2 linked regions of the Stegostoma tigrinum genome follow. The protein of the gene in region 2 interacts with the protein of the main gene of each other region in a biochemical or structural test. Links are inferred from orthologs where the notes say so. Each region holds a gene or a part of one and is shown on either strand. Other genes may lie near its edges.

Region 1 (7,368 bases), on a different chromosome or scaffold from region 2:
CAAATTGAAGGAAAACCACAGAAAGATTAATGGTAAAACAGGTAGTGGGGAAAGTTTTTAAAACCAACTAAGTAACACCAAAAAAAACGTAAAAAGGGTTCAAATAAACTTTAAGGATAAAGTAGCAAGTCAATCAAATTGGACTGTAAGACCTTCTTTAAATACATAAAACGGAACAGATAGAGAATGGTGAATATAGGCCACTTAGCAAAGGAGGTTGCGGAAATAATAATGGGGAACAAGGAATGGGAGAGAGGTGTTGAATAAATACTCTGCATCAGTCTTCATGGTAGAAGAGATGGATAGCGTTCCAAAATTACAAAATAATTGACGGATAAAACGAAGAGAAGATGCAAATACAATAATCGTCACTAGAGAAAAAAAATCTGGCGAAAATAATGGAACTAAAGATCAATACAAAGATATTAAAGGAAGGAACTGCAGAGATAATGGATGCACTGGTAGTAATCTTCACGGAATCCTTAGAGTTGGGAAAAGTCACAGAGGATTGGGAAGCTCCTTATTTAAAAGGTGAAGGAAGATTGAAAAAAAAGTAACAAAAGGCCAGGTAGTATAACATCCGCCATTGGGAAAATGTTAGAATCTATCATGAAGGATGTAAGGGCAGAGAATTTAGGAAAATGCATGATCAAGCAGTGTCAGCATTGGCTTCACAAAGCGGGAGTCATGCTTGTTTTGCTGAATCTATACAAGGCATAGTTAGACCTTAGCTGGAATACTGCAAAGTGTTTTATCACCACCCCACCCCCGCCGATCTAGGGGGAAGATATGTTGACATTGGAGCCAGTCCAAAAAAGAATCACTGAATTCATCCATGGGGAGGCGGTGGCCTAGTGGTATTATCACTAGACTGTTAATCCAGAGACCGAGATAATGTTCTGGGGACCTGGGTTTGAATCCTGCCCTGGCAGATGGTGGAATTTGAATTCAATAAAAATCTAGATTTAAGAGTCTAATGATGACCATGAGTCCATTGCTGTGGGGGGAGAAGCCCCTCTGGCTCACCAATGTTCTTTAGGGAAGGAAACTGCTGGCCTACATGCAATTCCAGACCCACAGCACTGTCCTTGACTCTGAACTGCCCTCTGGGGAATTAGGGATGGGCAATAAATGCTGCCTGGCCAGTGATGCCCTCATCCTGTGAATGAGTAAAGGAATCCTAGCTTTGAAAGGACTGCCTGCCTTTTGAAGAGAGGTTGAACAGGTCAAGCCTGTACACAATGGAGTTTAGGAGAATGAGAAGGTGGTCTTATTGATACATACAACGATTCTTAGGGAGCTTAGGTAGGTGTGGAGAGGTTGTTTCAACTTGTGGGAGATCCTAGGACCACTCTGCACAATCTCAGAATAAGGATTCGTCTATTTAAGACAGAGAGGAGGAGGAATTTCTTCTCTCAAATGTTTTATAAACGTGTGAAATTCTTTTTGTGCAGAGCGCTGTTGAAGTATATTCAAGGCCGAGTTTTTTTTTAATCAGGAAGAGATCAAATGTTTATGGGGAAAAAGCAGGAAAGTGGAGCTGAGGATTATCAGATCAGCCATGATTCCATTGAGTGACACTGCATGTGAGGTCTGTTCTTATGCCAGACAGTCACAGAATGGACCCTTCGGTCCAACTTATCCATGCAGACCAGATATTCTAAATTAATCCTGTCCCACTTGCCAGCATTTGGCCCATATCCCTGTAAACGCTGAGATAGCAAGAACTGCAGACGCTTGAGTCAGAGATAACACAGTGTGGAGCTGGAAATGAAAAAGGGTCTGACCCGAAACATCAGCTTTCCTGCACCTCTGATGCTGCCTGGCCTGCTGTGTTTCTCCAGCTCCACACTGTGTTATCCCTCTTAAACCCTTCCTATTCATATACCCATCTGGATGCCTTTCATATATGGTGATCGTACCAGCCTCCATCACTTCCTTTGGCAGCTTATTCCATAAAAGCACCACCCTCTGTGTGAAAAAGTGGCCCCTCAGGTCGTTTTATAACAAGGTGTAGAGCTGGATGAACACAGCAGGCCAAGCAGCATCATAGGAGCAGGAAGGCTGACATTTTGGGCCTAGACCCTTCTTTCTGATGAAGGGTCTAGGCCTGAAACGTCAGCCTTCCTGCTCCTATGATGCTGCTTGTCCTGCTGTGTTCATCCAGCTCTACACCTTGTTATCTCGGATTCTCCAGCATCTGGAGTTCCTATTATCTCTGACAAAATTTTAACCCCTTGGATCCCTTTTAAGTCTTTCTCCTCACAACTTAAACCTATGCCCTCTAGTTTTGGACTTCCTCACCCTGGCGAAAATGATCTTGGCTATTTACCCTACCCATGCCCCTCATGATTTTGAAAACCTCTATAAGGTCGCCCCTCAGTCTCCAACACTTCAGGGAAAACAGCCCCTGCCTATTCAGCCTCTCCCTGTAGCTCAAACCCTCCAATCTCGGCAACATCCTCGTAAATCTCTTCTGAACTCCTCCAAGTTTCACAACATACTTCAAATAGCAGGGTGACCAGAATTGAGGGCAGCATTCCAAAAGTGGCCTAACCAATGTCCTGCACAGCTGCAACGTGGCCTCCCAACTCCCATATACTCAATGCATTGACCAACAAATGCCTTCTTCGCTACCATGATCTTATGGGAGATGGGACCAAGTCCCAACTTGACAGCTGGTAGAATTTAAATTCTATTCATTAAGTCGTCATTTGAAAGCTCAACTCAGTAAAGGTGACCAATGACACAACTACCGATTGTGATATAAACCCGTCAGGTTCACTCATACCCTTTGCTGAAGGAAATCTGCTGTCCTTACTTGGTCTGGCCTACATGTGACTCAAGCCCACAGCAATGTGATTGACTCTTACCAGTCCGCAAAATTACCAAAGGCACTGCATTTAAGGGCAGTTACGGGGTGGGTAATGAACACTGGTCTTGTTAGTGACACGCACATCCTATAAAAGTATAAAACCATTAAAATAAGAATACCTCATTTTTAACGGCACTGAGTAACAGCACTGATCTGGGCTTGATGGACTGAATGGCCTCCTCCTGTGACTTTTTAAAAAAACACTCTGTGAACTCAGATACAACTCCACAACATGCAAAACACATGAGTTCCCAGAGGAGTCCAGCAGCAAGTCATATAAATCTGCTGCTGACTTCCTTATATATTCGGACAGGAATGCGTGCGATGCAGCGCATGAAGTGTGAGAAATTTTCAATCAGGGTCGTTGACAAATATTTGTTCAGAATGAGATTGGCGACAGGAATTGGTGCAGCGACAGAAGTTCACCTACCAGTCTGGAGTCACGTTCATCGTAAACACCCTGCAAAAGATGGAGAAGTGACAAAATGATGACATGCACACAGACACGGGACGGCAGCTTCATTCTGACACCTTTGATCTAAAGAGTTAATTGTCACTGCGGTGATCTCTATTTCATCAGACTGGGAGAACCTTACAGCGACGGATACAAACAGCTCAGCATTACATTGCTTCACCAGTATGCGAGTTCTTCGAGTCTAATTATTGAAACTGTCTCACAATTTTCAAGCAAAGCATTGTGATCTGCAGCAGATTCGTTACATATTCCAGGCGAAAGTTGTGTCAGGATCCATGGAACGGAAAGGTTGGGATTCAAATGACAAAACTGAGATTGCTATCCAGTGCAGACAATAGAGCCAGGTTCCAGGAAAAGGATCCACAGAACATTGTGCATTCCAGCATCAATCATGTGAAATCCTCAGATTCAGCTCAGACACCGAAAACAAAGCAAGAAAGAAGTGATTACTTCACTGGCGCTAAAATCAACTTTCTCCTTTGTAATCTTCAGCAAAGAAGTGACGGAACTTTCCAGCTACGTTCACCATCCTTCACTTTGAAAGCATGGAATGGGAGCACATCTTCTAAAAGATCCCGGAGTTGTCGATCGCACAGAGCTACACACACACTTTGTCTCAAATATTGTGACGCATCAGACCCCCTCAGAAACTGCAGAAGCATATGGTTTAAATGGGATCCAGACTTCAGTCCGAGCCCGCACTGCTGGCTGCCCTACTGCACTCACAGCATGACAAAACACCAAAGCCACACACCCCCTCCCCACTGACCCACACATTACCCACTGACACACACATCACCCACTGACACCCATCACCCACTGGCCCACACATTACCCACTGACACACACATCACCCACTGACACCCATCACCCACTGGCCCACACATTACCCACACACACACATCACCCACTGACCCACACATTACCCACTGACCCACACATTACCCACTGACACACACATTACCCACTGACACACACAGTACCCACCTAAACACACATTACCCACTGACACACACATCACCCACTGACACACACATTACCCTCACACTCACACACAGTACCCACTGGCACACACAGTACCCACTGACCCACACATTACCCACTGACCCACACATTAACCACTGGCCCACACATTACCCACTGACCCACACATCACCCACTGACCCACATAGCACCCACTGACCAACACATTACCCACTGGCCCACACATTACCCAAACTCTCACACCCCATACCCACTGCCACACGTTACTCACTGACCCACACATTACCCACTGACCCACACAGCACCTACTGACCCACGCATTACCCACACACTCACACCCCATACCCACTGACCGACATATTACCCACTGACCCACACATTACCCACTAACACACACATTACCCACTGACACACACATTACCAACACGCTCACACCCCATATCCACTGACTGACACATTGCCCACACACTCACACACCTTGCCCAATGACCTACACTTTGTCCACTGAACCACACATTAAACACACACTCACAACCCATATCCACTGACCCACCCATTACCCACTGGACCACAGATGTGTATACAAATTCATACCCACTGACCGACACATTACCAACTGACCCACACATTACCCACATACTCACACCATTCCCACTGCCCCACACATTTCCCATTGCCCCACACATTACCAACACACTCACACCATTCCCACTGCCCCACACATTTCCCACTGCCCCACACATTACCCACACACTCACACACTGTACCCACTGACCCACACATTACCCAATGACCAACACATTTCCCACTGACCCACACATTACCCACTGCCCCACACATTACCCACTGACCCACACATTACCCACTGACCTACACATTTCCCACTGACCCACACATTACCCATTGACCCACATATTACCCATGCATCCACACAGCATTCCCACTGATCCACACATTTCCCACTGACCTACACATTACCCACACACTCACACACTGTACCCACTGACCCACACATTACCCAATGACCAACACATTTCCCACTGACCCACACATTACCCACTGCCCCACACATTACCCACTGACCCACACATTACCCACTGACCTACACATTTCCCACTGACCCACACATTACCCATTGACCCACATATTACCCATGCACCCACACAGCATTCCCACTGATCCACACATTTCCCACTGACCTACACATTACCCACACACTCACAGTCCGTACACATAGACCCCCACATTACCCACACACACACAACATTCCCACTGACTTACGCATTACCCCACACTCACACATTATACACATAGACCCATACATTACCCACACACTCACACCCCATACACACTGACCCACACATTACTCACTGACCCACGCGTTACATACTGACTCACACATTACCCCACACTCACACCCTATACGGACTGATCCACACGTTACCCATGCTCTAACACCCCATACCCACTGACCCTCACATTACTCTGCCCCACACATTACTCACTGACCCACACCTCATCCACTGTTGCACACATTACCCACTTACCCACACATTACCCACACTCACCATCCCCCAGCACACACATTACCGACACACTCACACACCATTCCCCTGACCCAAACATAATCAACACACACACACCATCCCCCGACCCATACATTACCCGCGCACTCACACCCCATACACACTGACCCGCACATCACCGACTGACCCACACATTACACACTGACTCACATATTACCCCACACTCAGGCCCTATACCCACTGATCCACACGTTACCCACACTCTAACACCCCATACCCTCTGACCCTCACATTACTCACTGCCCCACACATTACCCAGTGACCCACACCTTATCCACTGTTGCACACATTACCCACTGACCCACACATTACCCACACTCACACACCCCATACCCACTGTCCAACACATCTTACACACAGTCACACCCCATACCCACAGACCCACACATTTCCCGCTGACCCACGCATTACCCATACACTCACACCCCATACCCACTGACCCAGACATTACCAATACTAACCCCCCATACCTGCTGACCCACTCATTACTCACTGACCCACACATTACCCACACAATCACACCCCATACCCACTGATCCACACATTACCCACTGACCCACACATTACCCACACAATCACACCCCATACCCACTGACCAACACATTACCCACTGACACACACATTACCCACTGACCCACACATCGCCCACTGACCAACTCATTACCCACTGGCCCACACTTTACTGACACATTCACACCCCATACACACTGACCCACTCATTACCCACTGACACAAACATTACCCACAATCTTCCACCCAATACCCACTGAACCACACAATATGCACTGACCTACACGTCACCCACTGACCCGCACATTACCCACACACTCACACCCCATGCCCACTGACCGACTCATTACCCACTGACACTCACAGCACCTACTGACCCACGCATTACCCACACACTCACACCCCATACCCACTGACCCACACATTACCCATTGACACACACATTATCCACTGACCCACACATCACCCACTGACCAACTCATTACCCACTGGCCCACACTTTACTGACACATTCACACCCCATACACACTGACCCACACATTACCCACACTCTCACACCCCATACCCACTGATCCGCACATTACCCATTGACACACACATTATCCACTGACCCACACATCACCCACTGACCAACTCATTACCCACTGGCCCACACTTTACTGACACATTCACACCCCATACACACTGACCCACACATTACCCACACTCTCACACCCCATACCCACTGATCCGCACATTACCCACTGACACACACATTACCCACTGACCCACACATTACCCACTATCTTCCACCCAATACCCACTGAACCACACATTACGCACTGACGCAGGCATTACCGACTGACGCAGACATTATCCACTGACCCACGCATTACCCACATTCACACACCATCCCCCAGCCCACACCTTACCAACGCGCTCACACACCATTCCCCTGA
Region 2 (7,034 bases):
ATCAGAGGAGCAGGAGAGCTGATGTTTTGGGTCTAAACCCTTCTTCAGAAAAATGAAGAAATGAATTTTTCTGAAGAAGGGTCTGGACCAGAAACGTCAGCTTTCCTGCTCCTCTGACGCTGCTTAGTCTGTTCCATTCATCCAACTCTACACCTTGTTATCTCAGATTGTCCAGCATCTGCAGTTCCTCCTATCTCTGAGGTCAAAACAAGATCCTTTTGAATGGTGGAGCAGGCCTGAGTGGCCCACCTGTGATTCTAATGCGAATGTTTGATAGCATTTGAGAAATTGCGGGGGGAGTTCTGATGATTGCATTGGAACATGCTGTGTTAAATGGGATGAATTTAGAACAGATCTAGCAACTCAGTGCTGGCCATCCATGAGGTACTCCAGGCCATTAACAGCAGCAGAATTCTACTCAACCATAATCTGCAACTGTCTACCCACTTCCACCATTTCCATCAGGGCAGGAGATCAACCCTGGTTCAGTGAATTGGTGCAAGAGGTCATACCAGGAGCGTCACCAGGTTTATTTAAAAATGGGCAGTCAATACAGCAGCACTTGCACGCTAAATAGGAGAAGAGCAACTGATAGGCAAGACTAAATAAAAGCCAAAAGAACTGCGGACGCTGTAAATCAGGAACTAAAACAAAGTTGCTTGAAAAGCTCAGCAGGTCGGGCATCTGTGGAGGAGAAAACAGAGTTAATGTTTCAGGTCACTGGACTCGAAACGTTAACTCTGTCATTTTTCCTTCACAGGTGACAGACAAGACTAAGTGTTTCCACAACCAAAGGTTCAGATCATATATCTGCTGTCCTGCCACATCCAGTCCTGAATGGTGGTGGACTGTTAAACAATTGACAGAATGAGCTGTCTCCAGAAATATTGCTATTCCCAAAAATAGGCAGCCCAGTGCATCGCTGCAAAAGACAAAAACAGAAATTGCTGGAGAAACTCCGCAGGTCAGGCAGCATCTGTGGGAAGAAAGCAGACTCAACGTTTTGGGTCAGTGACTCTTCACTTTGAACCTCCCTGCCTCAGAAGGTGGTGGATGCAGGGTCATTTTAAAGTCAGATTTTTGTTATGCAGGACAGCCCAGGGTTCCCAGGAGAGAAATCTGAACATGGAATCTGAAATGTAAACCAATTAGCCATGATCTATTTGGATGGCAGAGCAGATCAGAGGGGCTGAATGGTCCACTTCTACTCAAGTTTGGTATGTTCATATCTTTGTATATAGATATATCGGAACATCACCACTTGCAAGTTCCCTTCCAAGCCACTCACTCTCCTAATACGTCACTGTTCCTTCAATGTTCCTGGGTCAAGATTCTGGAATTCTCTCCCTAAAGACATTGTGGGTAAGCCCACAGCACATGCACTGCAGCGGTTTGAGAAGGCAGCTCACCCCCACCTTCTCAAGGGCAGCTAGGGACAGGCAATAAATGCTGGGCCCAGCCAGTGACACCCACATCCTGGGAATTATTGAAATAATATAGTATGCTCAAAATCAAAGGGAAGAGATGCAGATATCTGGAGCGCAATGGGAAGAGAGTCCTCACCGTGTGACTATACTAATCCCACAGTTTTAATTCAGAACAAAGCAAGCTCCAGGCTAATACAGAAAGCAGGTAATCTGAGCTCAGCTGGAACAGAATGATCCCAACTTCAAATGGCTCAACCTTCTCACTCTTTCCAAGGAACACTCAATAAGAGTTTGATGGTCTGAACCTTTACTGGAGAGGCCAGGGGGCTGGGGAGAGGAAAGTGGTTTAGGGAGGAGGGGGTGGACAAGGAGGGGGAGATCAGAGAAGTACGATGGTGTATTCATTGCCTAGTGATGTGGAATTGGAATTTCAATCCAGTTTCATTTCCAATCCCCAGCATATCTGGTTCATCAATATCTTGAAAACTTCGTCCAATTCACATGGAGTTCCCAGTATCCTTAGCTCATTACACTCACACCGTGTCGACTTGGAAAGCAAAAATCGTCAATTCACTCCAACTCAATATAACCCGATAGTGGTGATTGAAATATTGTTTTCATACAATTTAAATGACAGTCTTTGGAGATAATTTACGGAAGATGGTGACTGTTTAAGACCCTGTAATTGCTGGTGACCCGGGGTTATGTGCAGACGGGAGCAAAGCCCATCTTCAATGTTGGAACAGTTTACCTGCGAGCTAGGAGTTCCTGAGCTTTCCCATCAGTAAACTGCAGTCAAATATGGAAAGAACTTCAAACACGAGAGGACAAAACATACTGAAAAATGAACGCTTAGCTCAAGTTCCCCTGCTAGCAGACTTTTCAGGACAGGGAGCAGACTGGAGTTGATACAAAGCTGAAGCTTGCTCTCAATCAGTCCCAATCTCTTTTCGGTTTCACACGGTTTTCTTGGGCACAAACCCCCAGGTCTATTCTGTCCCGTGTCATCAGCTGCGAGTTACCCCGGTCTCTTTTATATGACGGAACAAATCAATGCAACAAAATAACGTGTCTCAAGACGAAGAAGGTTTCTTTGCAAATGGGGAAATCTACAATAAAACATCCCCAAGAGCAAGCTACAACATAGATTCCGTCCTACCTGCTACAGCGCAGCTAAACGCTAAACACAAGAGGCTCCACACTGATCCTTGCAGCATTTCGTAAATTCTGAGTTTGTGAACACTCCCCTATCAGCCTTCAGGTATTACTCAGAAGGACAGCCACAACTTTTCAAAGTCCAAATCTACAGAGGTTTCCCACACACAAAAAAAGAGCAATTTACAATCCAACTCGGAGGTGCAACTTCATTTCAAACATCTCCACAGTTCGCCTGCCTCAACAACACTCAAACAATCCGCAGCTCGAACCTTCAGCAAACACTGACTCCTACCTGATTTACACACGGCTACAAACCAAATCCAGACAGAAAAGGTAAAAGCTTTCTTCATTTCTAGATGTCCAATCCTGGAGTGTTTGAAGTCTCCGATCAAAGAAATGAAAAATATTAAATTCCTCTTCTCTGCCTCTCTCTCGCAGACACACGTGTAACTCAGAGCCCGTGGGTCAGGTACAAGCTGAGATTTAGTTCCGAGCAGCTCCGGGGACGAGCAGCCGTGGAAACCACAAGGAAATTGTTTGAAGGAAATGTGTGCAACGATTAACATCAAGTGAGATACGTTTCCTCTTTGCAACCCTTTCGCCACTTCCACCAACCCGCAGGAAAACAAAAGTATTTTTCTCTCTCCCTTCCTCCCCTCCCTCGTTTTAATCTGAACAGATTCTCCAGATTCCCTGATCTCCAACAAGAGTTGAACTTCTGCACAGTTTTTTTGGTGAAAATTTCCAGACGTCTAGCGCCTTCACCTATCGAGTACGATTCACAAATCGCAAACGTATTCATCTTTAAAATCCCTTTATATTTGAGACCGCATTAAGACAAAACAGTATTTAACCAGATTCGGGTAGGATTCTAATTATTTGTTATAATATATCCCTAACAACGAAGAATTTAAATTTAAATACACCAGCCTGCATAAACCGAGTTCTTCTTGTACTTCCAGGCTATTTTCCCCTTAAACTCCTTAGGTTTAAATTTAGACTAAATATTTCCTATGTAAACCTGTCATGCTGTAATTATGGCCTTCCACCACTGATGGCGCTGTAACCCTGATATTGTTGATCTTTATCTTCAGACCCCAAAGTTCACTGGCTGGAGTCACAGAGGCATACAACAGGGAAACAGACCCTCAGTCCGAATCGTGCATGCTGACAAGATATCCTAATCTCGTCCCATTTTCGAGCATTTGGCCCATATCCCTCTTAACCCTTCCTATTCGTGTACCTATCCAGATGCCTTTGAAATGTTGTAATTGTACCAGCCTCCACCACTTCCTCTGGCAGCTCTTTCCATACATGCATCATCCTCTGCGTGGAAAAGTTGCCCCTTAGGTCCATTTTTAATTCTTCCCCTCTCATCTTAAACCTATGCCCCTCTAGTTTTGGACTCTCCCACCCCAGGGAAAAAACCTTGTCTATTTACTCTATCCATGCCACTCATGGTTTTATAAACCTCTATAAGATCACCCATCAGCCTTCAACATTCCAGGGAAAAAAGCCCCAGCCTATTCAGCCTTTCCCTGTAGCTCAAACTCTCCAACCCTGGCAACACCCTTGTAAATCTTTTCTGCATTCTTTCAAGTTTAACAACGTCTTTGCTGTAATCGGGAGATCGGAGTTGAGTGCAGTATTCCAAAAGTGGCCTAACCAGTGTCCGGTACAGCTATAATGTAACATACCAATTCCTACACTCAGTGCACTGACCAACAAAGACTAGTGTACAGAAAAACCTTCTCTGCCCATCTTGTCTACCTGCGACTCTAACTTCAAGGAATTGTCAACCTACACCCCAAGGTCCCTTTGTTCAGTAATACTCCCCAGCTCTCTACAATTAAGTGTACCAGTTCTTGTCTACTTCATTAGTTGCTAATATTTTTAATGTAAATAATATAAAATCAATTATATACTAAAAAGTGAATTTATGACTTTAAAATAGGGATTGAATTATAACGAAACATCCTGGACCTTATCTCCTGCCTGTTATCCCCACTTCACCAATAAGTAGTAGTAGAAATATTAAAACTAATGATATGCATTGTAATGGAAATATGTTATTCAAAATATTAATTTATAATATAATTGACCGGGCATGGTCACTTGGTCAGAAGAAGCTGCAAGGTTAGCATGAAGGAGATTTCACCTGAGCGAGACAGAGACAGAAGTGAGTATCTGGGAATTTGGGTACAAGTTGGAATTCAGGGCAGACCGGAGTGGGGGGGATGCGGGAAAGAGGGGAAGGAGACGTGTTTGAATTAAGGTTTACTGTAAGGAATAAAGTCTTCAGAGAAAGGGATGACCGAGAAAGGAAATAAGGTGGAGATCAAGGGGCTTATGTGTACTTAAACCAACAGCAGTGTGACATCCTGAAGCCGGGAAAGCAGCTGATTTTTAGTTTTTCTCATCTTTAAAGTGAAAGTTGGTTATTTAGTTTAAATCCTGAGTGTTTTACCCTTCTTTTCCTGAACAATAGCTTCTTATGTTTTCAGAGGCTAGTACTGATTCTAACGATAACAGAGGTTTTCAGAGTTATGGGATGGCAACTCGGCACAACATTGAGGGCTGAAGGGCCTGTTCTGCGCTGTATTGTTCTATGTTCTAAGTCAGATGGGACAGGCAGATTGGAGATCCTGCAGTATGTGTGAAGTCAGGGACATACCATGCTTCCCAGATGATCCCAGAAAGTGTCTTCAGCTGCACATGCTTGAGGTCCCGCTTTTGGAATTCTAGCAGTATCTTGGGTCACTGCTGTACATCCATGCAGCAAAGGACAACATGCGTAGCACATATGGGGAGGTAGTCACAGATTAGAGCTTTTACAAGAAAGACGTTCAGATTGAATTCACATGACCCAGACTGTGGCAGGGAAAGATATTAAAATTGAACACGGTCGGAGATAACATTCCTCAAAAGCAATATCCTTTGACCTGTGATAAGAGGAACTGCAGATGCTGGAGAATCCAAGATAACAAAGCGTGAAGCTGGATGAACACAGCAGGCCAAGCAGCATCTCAGGAGCACAAAAGCTGACGTTTCAGGCCTAGACCCTTCATCAGAGGGCTCTCTCAGCTTTTGTGCTCCTGAGATGCTGCTTGGCCTGCTGTGTTCATCCAGCTCCACACTTTGTTATCCTTTGACCTGTCTTGGTTTGAAGTCTCTCTCATTAAAGTTTGAGAGTTGAAAGTGCACTGGAAGACCATATCACAACAAGTGGACAGTTATAGAGTCAGAGAGACATACAGGATGGAAACAGACCCCTGTCCATGCCAACCAGATATCTTATATAAATCTTGTCCCACTTGCCAGCATTAGGCCAATATCCCTCTAAACTCTTCCTATTCATGTATCATCCAGGTGTCTTTTAAATGTTGCAATTGTACCAGCCTCCACCACTTCCTCTGGGAGCTCATTCCCAGCGTGTACCACCCTCTGCATTTTAATGTTGTCCCTTAGGTCCCTTTTGAATCTTTCCCTCTCATCTTAAACCTATGCTGTTTAGTTTTGGACTCCCTCACCCCAGAGAAAAGACCTTGTCTATTTTCCTGAACCATGCCCCTCATGATTTTGTAAATTTCTATAAGGTCACCGTTCAGCCAACATTCAGTCTTCTGCTGCCTCACCTGAGGCTATTGATGATACACATATCTGAGGCACCTAGCTGTCAGTTCCCTAGCTTCACACAGAGTTCTCGGGTAGACCTGATCAGGTCCTGGAGATTTATCCACTCTTATGCATTTTAAGACATCAAGCTCCTCCTCCTCTGTATTTTGGATATTTTTCAAGATGTTGCTATTTATTTCCCCATGTTCTCTGTCTTCCATATCCTTCTCCAGAGCAAACACTGATGCAAAATACTTGTTTGGTGTCTCCCCCATCTCCTATGGTTCCACAAATAAGTGGGCTTGCTGATTTTTAAGTTGCCCTATTCTGTCCTAGTTACCCTTTTGTCCCTAATATATTTGTGGTTTGGATTCTGCTTAACCCTATTTGCCAAAGCTAACATGTCCCCTTGCTGCCCTCTTGACTTCCCTCCTAAGTATATTCCTACTGCTTTTATATTCTTCTCAGGATTCACTTGATCTCTGCTATTTATACATGACATATGCTTCCTTCTTATTCTTGTCCAAAACCTCAATTTCTCACCCAGCATTCACCGCACCTACCAGTCTTGCCCTTCACCCTAACAGGAACATACTGTTTCTGGACTCTCGTTAACTTATTTTTGAAGGCTTCCCATTTTCCAGCCATTCTCATTATCTGCAAACATCCACACCACCCCCCCCATCAACTTTTGAAAGTTCTTGCCTCTTACTATCAAAATTGGCCCTCTACTGATATAGAACTTGAACTTTCAGATCTGGTCTACCCTTTTCCATCACTATTTTAAAACTAATAGAATTATGGTCACTAACCCAAAGTGCTCCCCCACTGACA

The links. The genes of interacting proteins can lie anywhere in the genome.
Region 1: the proteins of flt4 (region 2) and vegfd form a complex in vitro, tested with the Homo sapiens proteins (2 studies listed by BioGRID). The link is inferred for Stegostoma tigrinum from reciprocal best matches to the Homo sapiens genes FLT4 and VEGFD.

Annotation. Positions count from the first base shown.
Region 1 is NC_081365.1:76,200,129-76,207,496, forward strand, and holds the start of vegfd (vascular endothelial growth factor D), read right to left. Parts: upstream 3,152-7,368; 5' UTR 3,121-3,151; coding exon 2,995-3,120; intron 1-2,994. UniProt on the Homo sapiens protein: Growth factor active in angiogenesis, lymphangiogenesis and endothelial cell growth, stimulating their proliferation and migration and also has effects on the permeability of blood vessels.
Region 2 is NC_081366.1:12,011,512-12,018,545, forward strand, and holds the start of flt4 (vascular endothelial growth factor receptor 3), read right to left. Parts: upstream 3,116-7,034; 5' UTR 2,936-3,115; coding exon 2,878-2,935; intron 1-2,877. UniProt on the Homo sapiens protein: Tyrosine-protein kinase that acts as a cell-surface receptor for VEGFC and VEGFD, and plays an essential role in adult lymphangiogenesis and in the development of the vascular network and the cardiovascular system during embryonic development.